2 linked regions of the Macaca mulatta genome follow. The protein of the gene in region 1 purifies or fractionates together with the protein of each later gene. This does not show direct contact. Links are inferred from orthologs where the notes say so. Each region holds a gene or a part of one and is shown on either strand. Other genes may lie near its edges. The genes, in order: OSBPL8 and GLG1.

Region 1 (3,818 bases):
CACCATGCCTAGCCTAGTTTAAGTTTTTACAAAATGATCATTGCTTTAGTTTCTGAGAAGGCCAGTTATTGTAGAATAAAGAAGTTAGAATTTCTCCTTTAGGGAAAACCACCTCATCGAGATTACGGTTAACAAAAAGTAGCTTAATCCTTTTTGTGGGGCGGGGAGGGTATTGCTTAATAATGCAATATACATACACCTAGGAAAAAACTTGTACTTTTTAATCTTTATTTCAGTAGCCTGGAGTCACAGCAAGAATAAATTTGGGATTACCGAGTTAGTTCCATTCTGAGGTTAGGTGCTTCCCTCAGGGGAAAGAATTTAAACCCCCGAACCTCTGACATTTATATATTAAGCGATTCTCAAGTGGAGAAAATGACTTTCAAAACCTTTTTAAACAACAACAACAAAATATATGTATACATATACACATATACAAAAATACTATATATACACACATATGTGTGTATGTATATAAATATAGTATTCTACTACTCTTAGGAATTGCAAGCATTAAAATAAATTTTAAGCCATTAATGATTTTAATGTCAAATTTATAATATTTAATTCTTACTATTGGAAGAAGAGAGAAATCTGTATAATTATATAAATACTTCCCACAAGCAAAACCTACTTAGGATATTGTTTAAATATTTTGGAAGCCAGTGTTTATGATTAGGAAATAGTAACAGCTATGAGTTCATGTCAGGTACTTTAGTATTTTACATGAAATCATTTATTTAATTCTCATACCTATAAGGAAGATACAGTTTCTTCCCATTATACACATAAAGAGATTGAACTCTGTTTTTCTAGCATGGAGCCATGATTGAAACCCAGGCGGTCTGATTACATGTCCCACTGTATACTGGTTTTAGGAACTGGCCCATAAATTGTAAAGCTATTTGAAAATGCAGAATATTACGGTATTTGTTAAAGCCATATTAATTTTTTTTCTGTTTTCATTTTGAATCTACATCTTTACTTTCTGACATTTTATGCGTTTTGGAAATCTGTTTTGTTTTTTGACCTGATAACTTTAAAGAACCCTTTGAAAACAACTTAAAAATTAAGCTTTTGTATCAAAATTATATTTTAAATTCAATACTTAGTTTCCTTTCTATTGTGTCTACCTAAGTTTAGCATTGGTGATATTAATTAGTGTTGGTATTGTATACTTATAAAACAACCCTAGCCAACAACAACAACAGAATGTCTTTTTCTTTCATGTTTCTGGAAAAATAAAATCAGCGTATATAGTTGGTGTTTAAAAACAGGTATATGTCATTGGTTTTAAAGTAGAGATTTATTTTTCCTTAGACCCAGTTAAAATTCATTTCTCTTTTTCTTTTGAATTATAATTCTATTTCCAGATGCTTTCTTTAGCCTTCTAGAAATTTAGTATTTCTTATCTCATTAGTTGTATCCATGGGATGGACATTGTTAAGTTAAAATTTGGTTTAATATGGTAAATTGCAGGTTCTTTTTAGTATGTAAGCAATATATAGAGGTAATATTTAAGTGATAATTAATTTGTTCAGTTTTCTGCTAAGGAGATATATTTGTTAGAAAATTTTTCTTAATACTTAACATTTGCATTATCAAGAATGATGAAATTAAAGCTTATTTGCTTTTAGATTATAATCCATACCTGATTTAGATTATTACAGATAATATTGGATAGTATAAAGTTGAGATCTCATAATACTTACTCTCTACCATTTATTTTGTTTATTTTGTTATTAAGGGTCCAAAAGGTGAAGCGGTTGGATCCATTACTCAGCCCTTACCTAGCAGTTATTTGATCATCCGAGCTACTTCAGAGTCAGATGGTAAATATAGTTTTTGATGGATTGGATTTTGGTCTTCATTTTTAAGAGTTTTTTTATGCCGCTTTGTATTATTCTGGGGAAATATATTTTTAGTATGGCATTTGCAGCAGAAGCATGGTAATCGTAAATTGCTTTGAATGCTAAATATATGAGTAACTTAATAGACAAATAGGGAAATCTGATAGAAAGGAAGCATTGTGTGATTTATCAATGAGTTAGCAGTTCAGAGTTTTCTTCTTCATCCTCCATGGACATATTAACACCTTTTAACTTGTTAGTGATCTTTATGGTAACTCATGTTTTATTTTAAAGATACATTTAATACTTTTTATATTTTACTACTAAATGTTACCATTTATGAGACATATACTGTTTTGTTTTGTTTTGTTTTTTTTACATAAGACATTCGAGTACAACCTTTTTTATTCCTCCTTTAATACTTAATTCATGAAGCAAATATGGGGAGAGAAAAACTTAAGTGATATCAAGGTAGCTTTCAAATCTTAATAACAGATTTTGTCCTCACTTTCATGCTTTCATGTTTCGTAGTTTAGACAAGGTTGGTGTAGGGAATCTTGTAACCTTCCAAAGTTTACTTTTATCTGATGTTTTTTTGTTTGTTTGTTTGTTTTTGTGTTTGAGATGGAGTCTCGCTCTGTTGCCAGGCTGGAGTGCAGTGGCACGATCTCAGCTCACTGCAACCTCCGACTCCCTGGTACAAGCCATTCTCCTCTCTCAGCCTCCTGAGTAGCTGGGACTACAGGCACACGCCACCATGCCCAGCTAATTTTTGTATTTTTAGTAGAGGCAGGGTTTCACCATGTTGGTCAGGATGGTCCCACACTCGACCTCATGATCCGCTTGCCTTGGCCTCCCAAAGTGCTGGGATTACAGGCGTGAGCCACCACACCTGGCCTCAGATGATTTTTTTTTAATTAAAATATAGGTATGAGCTTTCAATATGAAAATGCTTTACTTGACTGATACTCCCAGCAAATCTTGAAGTGATATATATGAAAATTAAGAGCCCCAAATATAAGTGAAAAGTTTTCTGCTAATTCACTTTTAAATTTTTATTTAAAAAATAAAACTATTAATGTTTCTCTTAACTAATATGGCAGTTAATAGTAGCATTATATAGGCATTTTCCTGACTTAAAAAGTTTCATACATACAGGTAGAATGGATGTTAATCTTAAGGATAGACCTTCTATTATCAAAAACAGTTACTTCAGATAGTTTGTTTATAGTAGAACCATAAATCCTCCAGTATATTTTATGTACCTTGCTTGATACCTTCAAATTATACTGCTTGTTAATGTCCTAAGATTTGAAAAATAAAGTATGTTTATTTTAGATTGGGTATACTTTCTAATGCATGCTGTATACTATTCATTTATCAGTGGTTTGTACCTGCTTAGTATGTGAAAAGCATTTGGAAAACTGAAAGATTACATTAAAAAGTTCTAGCAGATGTTATGTTCAGATTAACTTTTCTAGTGCATGTTTCTCAAAGAAATAGTGGTAACAGGGTAAGTTAAGATGCATGCTAGTTTCATAGTTTTAAAAATTATACTGCTTATGAATCTGTGTTCATTTAGGAAGGTGCTGGATGGACGCTTTGGAGCTGGCTTTGAAATGTTCTAGTCTTCTTAAACGTACAATGATCAGAGAAGGAAAGGAACATGACCTAAGCGTTTCATCAGATAGCACACATGTAACTTTCTATGGCTTACTACGTGCTAACAATCTCCACAGTGGTGACAACTTCCAGTAAGTAGATATTGCCACTGATTTGGTAATGTTTCAGAGACTGTGCTGTTCACAAAATTAGTTGGCAGGCCTAGAATTTTAGTAGTGTATCTAGGACTGAAATTTGCATATCTTCCTGTTATATGGCCTAAGACTGGCTTAAAATTTGTTTAGCTGCTGTAATCAGGTGTAGAAATGTATTTCCTTAGGGATTCCAGCCAATGTGATTTACTTT
Region 2 (4,311 bases), on another chromosome or scaffold:
CCTTGCAGTGAGCCGAGATCGTGCCACTGCACTCCAGCCCGGGCGTCTCAAAAAAAAAGAAAAAAAAAAAAAGAAAAGAAAATAAGGTGGGCACAGCGGCTCAAACCTGTAATCTCAGCACTTTGGGAGGCCGAGATGGGCAGATAACAAGGTCACGAGATCAAGACCATCCTGGCCAAAATGGTGAAACCCTGTCTCTACTAAAAATACAAAAATTAGTTGGGCGTGGTGGCACGCAACTGTAGTCCCAGGTACTCAGGAGGCTGAGGCAGGACAACTGCTTAAAGCCGGGAGGTGAAGGTGGCAGTGAGCCGAGATCACGCCACTGCACTCCAGCCTGGCAACAGAGTGAGACTCCGTATCAAAAAAAAAAAGAAAAGGAAAAAGAAAAGAAGTTTAAAAATAACTCCACCTCCTGAAGAATATACACAGGTGTTCACAGTACTCTTCTTTCAGTATTTCTGTATGTAAAAACTGGAGGAAAAAACATTAAATTGGGAATTTGGCTCCTCCCCCTCCCCCTAAACCCCCAAAACTCCCATTTCCAATTTACATGACACCTTTCCTCCTCTGGAGCATAAAAGTGCCTCCTTTAAGTGGAGGTTTCCAAATGTCCGGAATACACATGAATAAGGATATATACACTCCTTGCGTAGGCACTTTTTGCCACTTTCCCTAATAATGTGCTGTTTCTGGCCGGGCACAGTGGCTCACGCCTGTAATCCCAGCACTTTGGGAGGCCAAGGCAGGCGGATCACAAGGTCAGGAGATCAAGACCATCCTGGCTAACTCGGTGAAACCCCGTCTCTACTAAAAATACAAAAAATTAGCTGGGCGTGGTGGCGGGCACCTGTAGTCCCAGCTACTCGGGAGGCTGAGGCAGGAGAACGGCGTGAACCCGGGAGGCGAAGCTTGCAGTGAGCCGAGAACGCTCCACTGCACTCCAGCCCGGGCGACAAAGCCAGACTCCGTCTCAAAATAAATAAATAAATAAATAAATAAAGTGCTGTTTCTACCACAAACCACTAATAATGTGTTTGGTCACCAGTATTAGGATCGTAGTTTGATGAAACGACATCTATTATGTGTCCTCAAAGAGCAAAAAGAAAATTCCAAAAAGTTTGACACCCCGACTTAGGAATCTTAGCTGTATCTATCAGAGGACTATCCTTCTAGCCTTCAAGCTGAAGATGAGAAGTCAGGTAAGGCCTCGCATTTCCAGTGGTTCTGGAAACTTCCTTTCTTTCTGTCTCCTGCTTATGTATGTCTTTTCCTCTATCTGAATTGCTTTTGTATAGAATACTAGAGCATGAGATGAACCAAGAGTAGCAAATTTCTACAAGTCAGTGGTCTTCCTATAACTTGAACGCCGTAAACAAATCTGATACTACAATTTAAAAAAAAAAAAAAACAGCTAAAAACAGTATCAAGTAGCAGCTTTATTCTATGTGTCAACCTTTAGGGCTAATTCTAATACTTACACCTCTGGAAAAAGTTTCTACTGTCAGATTTGCTCCCAAACTTTGAGAATTGTCAAATATGCACTTACAGTCTGCAGCATTAAACCTAGATTATAAATTATCAATGTCACTTAACTGAATCACACCAAGCAATGGCAAATCTAGATTTCATTAACAGATACTGTTAAAATCACATTGAGACCTCAGAAAAGCAAGACCCCATAACCCAGCCACAAACACAGCTTCAAATGCTTCCCCAACTTTTCAAGCTTTGGGTCGCCAAGTCACTCGGAGTTAACAGCCTAAACATGGGGTTCAATACAAACTGACCAAAGGAAGTGAAGAAAACAAAGCATACATTATTTCAGCAAGAAGATGGATTTGCGAATTACATCTACTGTAATAAACAGCAGATCAAACCCCTACTGCTAATAAACAGATCGTTCTTTACAGCCTAAGTACGCCAGGCATTTTTTTATGTTTAAATGGCTTGCCACAAATTGTCCTAGTCAAAACTGATCGCAAAATCCTAAACTGGTGTTCGGCGAGGAGACACTCGGTATAGAGGATCACACAAAAGACAGGAGCGAACAGACACGCTCTGGGCCTCCGCGGATTGCGGCCAGGAGTCCAGGTCTTCGTCCCAGACCCCGGCAACAGGGAGGGAAATAAGGGCGAGGGAATAGAAGTGGGGGTGGGATCCTTTTCCCTGAATGCGCCTGGGAATGAGGAGCAAAGAGGGAAGGAGCGAGTGCAGCACAGAGGAAGCGAGAAAAGCAGCCGACCGGCGTCAGCGTCTTCCAAGGCTGGCAACACCCTCGGGCCCGCACCAGGCCTGGCCCTCCCGGCTTCGTCCCACCTCCTCACCTCCCTCACATCCTGCAGGCACTCGAGCACCGCCAGGTTGTTGCTCCAGGTGTGCTTGGGGCACACGCGGGTCACGTCCTCCCTGCAGGACTCTTCCTCCGCCAGCTTCCAGCCCCCACCAGCCCCCGCTCCTCCTCGCCGAGCCGGAGGCCCACCCGCCGGGAAAGGCAACTGTGGCGGCTGAGGCTGCTGTTGCTGTTGCTGTTGCTGCTGCTGTTGCTGCTGCTGCTGCTGCTGCTGCTGCTGCTGCTGCTGGAGCTGCGATGACTGAGGCAGCTGGGGCAGCTGCTGACCTGCCGGGCCGCCGCCTCCGGCCTGCCCTACGAAGGACACAAAGTTGGCGCCGGGGCCCTGGCCCTGGCTATGGACGCCCTGGCCGGGGAGTTTCTCGGCCCCGGCCGCGGCTAGCAGCAGCAGCTGCAGCGCCGCCGACAAGCGGAACATCCTCCGTACACGTCCACACGCCGCCATCTTGGGTCCGCGGCGAGCTCGACGCACTCGCCGGCGCCGCGTATTTAAATAAGGGGGCGGAGACGCCGGGCGTGGCAGCGTGGCCCTGCCGAGGCCCGCCCCTGCCGGCGCCGACCCGCAAGTCCAGAGTGGGGCGAAGGAAGAGGCTACACTGAAAACCGTACACGCCCTGGACCCGCGGCTGGGAGAGCGGCGCTTCTTACCTGGGTGGTTGGTGGGGTTTCTTAAAAAGCCCGGGCAAGGCGGCCTAGTCTAATTCCCTTTCTTGTCACAGAAAAAAAATCAAGGGAATTGGGGTTGCCACAACCAAAATGGCCGGTAGAATATGTCGCCGGTTCAATGACTTGGAAAACAAAAACTTTATATGTAGAGGTGAACTTTGCACAACCAGGTGTGTTACGGAATCGGAAAGCTTCTCCTTGCATCGCTCCCTCCTTCCTTCCACCTGCCTCAGAAGTCTTTCCTAGCCAAAGAGAGAGACAGCATTGAATAGGGTTAAGAGCATAGGTCTTGGGGTAAGAAAAAAATTAAGGTTATAATCCTTGCTCTGATAGAGTGGGCAAGAGCTCAAATGTAAAGTACCATTGACAAGATTCAAAATAATAATAAGGGAAGTGCCTGGCCCACAACATGGAACTCCAAAAGTCATAGCCAGTATTGTTAAACTGTGAAGCCCTTTGTGCGTAAATCCTGATTTTAAGCCAACATTTAGATTCATGTTTAAAGGATGAACAAATAATAATAAAACACACTTTGAGGACTCGGGTTAAGTCTGTGTCGGTAACTGTTCTCATTGACCTGCATGCAATATCGCAGGCACCCCACGCTAGCATCCCCTCCCTGTCCTTAGGAGAAAGGATATGTTCCCAAAGCCTCTTCACATCCGCTGTGTAATCTGAGCCATGCATCAGGCCTGCGTTAGGTTCTCATTTAGCTGAAGAATGGCATAGAGATGTTAACAGTTCTGTGCGGAGGGATTAAATGAGCGGCCCAAGAAGAACTCTGCCATCCTGTAGACAGCCAGGCTAGCCACCAGAATCCCTGGGGCTTCCCACCACCCTGGTGCACTTTTATCCCACTTTGTCCATACACATGTTGGGGAATCAGGGCAGTTTGGGATGTGTAATCTTCCCTGGTCATTGTGTCCAAAAATGCAGCTTCTGCTGTCCTGACCCACAAATGATCAGTCAAGACCAGATTAGACATAACTAGAACCTGAGAAGTCAGGAGCTCAGGGAACCTAAAAGGAGCCCCTGAGACTGAAGATATTCTGTGAGTACAAATTACCCACTGTGGCTGACCCCAGGCCTCTATCATGGGGAATGAGAGCTTGTTGGCATCTCCACCAACGGTCACCTTTGTTACTGCCTTAAAATGATCGTGAGGCTGCTGCTAACCTTGAGCATTGACTAAGGCAGCCCCATGTTTATTAGCAAACACATGGCATAGATAAGTTTCAGTCAGGCTGGAGACATCACCAGAAGTCCTTGAGATGTCACTAGGTTATGTTAAT

What was found.
Region 2: the proteins of OSBPL8 (region 1) and GLG1 purify together in Homo sapiens (co-immunoprecipitation; 3 studies listed by BioGRID and IntAct, with this or other methods). This does not show direct contact. The link is inferred for Macaca mulatta from reciprocal best matches to the Homo sapiens genes OSBPL8 and GLG1.

The regions. Positions count from the first base shown.
Region 1 is NC_133416.1:83,542,481-83,546,298, reverse strand, and holds part of OSBPL8 (oxysterol-binding protein-related protein 8), read left to right. Parts: intron 1-1,747; coding exon 1,748-1,832; intron 1,833-3,432; coding exon 3,433-3,604; intron 3,605-3,818. UniProt on the Homo sapiens protein: Lipid transporter involved in lipid countertransport between the endoplasmic reticulum and the plasma membrane: specifically exchanges phosphatidylserine with phosphatidylinositol 4-phosphate (PI4P), delivering phosphatidylserine to the plasma membrane in exchange for PI4P, which is degraded by the SAC1/SACM1L phosphatase in the endoplasmic reticulum.
Region 2 is NC_133425.1:69,910,709-69,915,019, forward strand, and holds the start of GLG1 (Golgi apparatus protein 1), read right to left. Parts: upstream 2,819-4,311; 5' UTR 2,799-2,818; coding exon 2,328-2,798; intron 1-2,327. UniProt on the Homo sapiens protein: Binds fibroblast growth factor and E-selectin (cell-adhesion lectin on endothelial cells mediating the binding of neutrophils).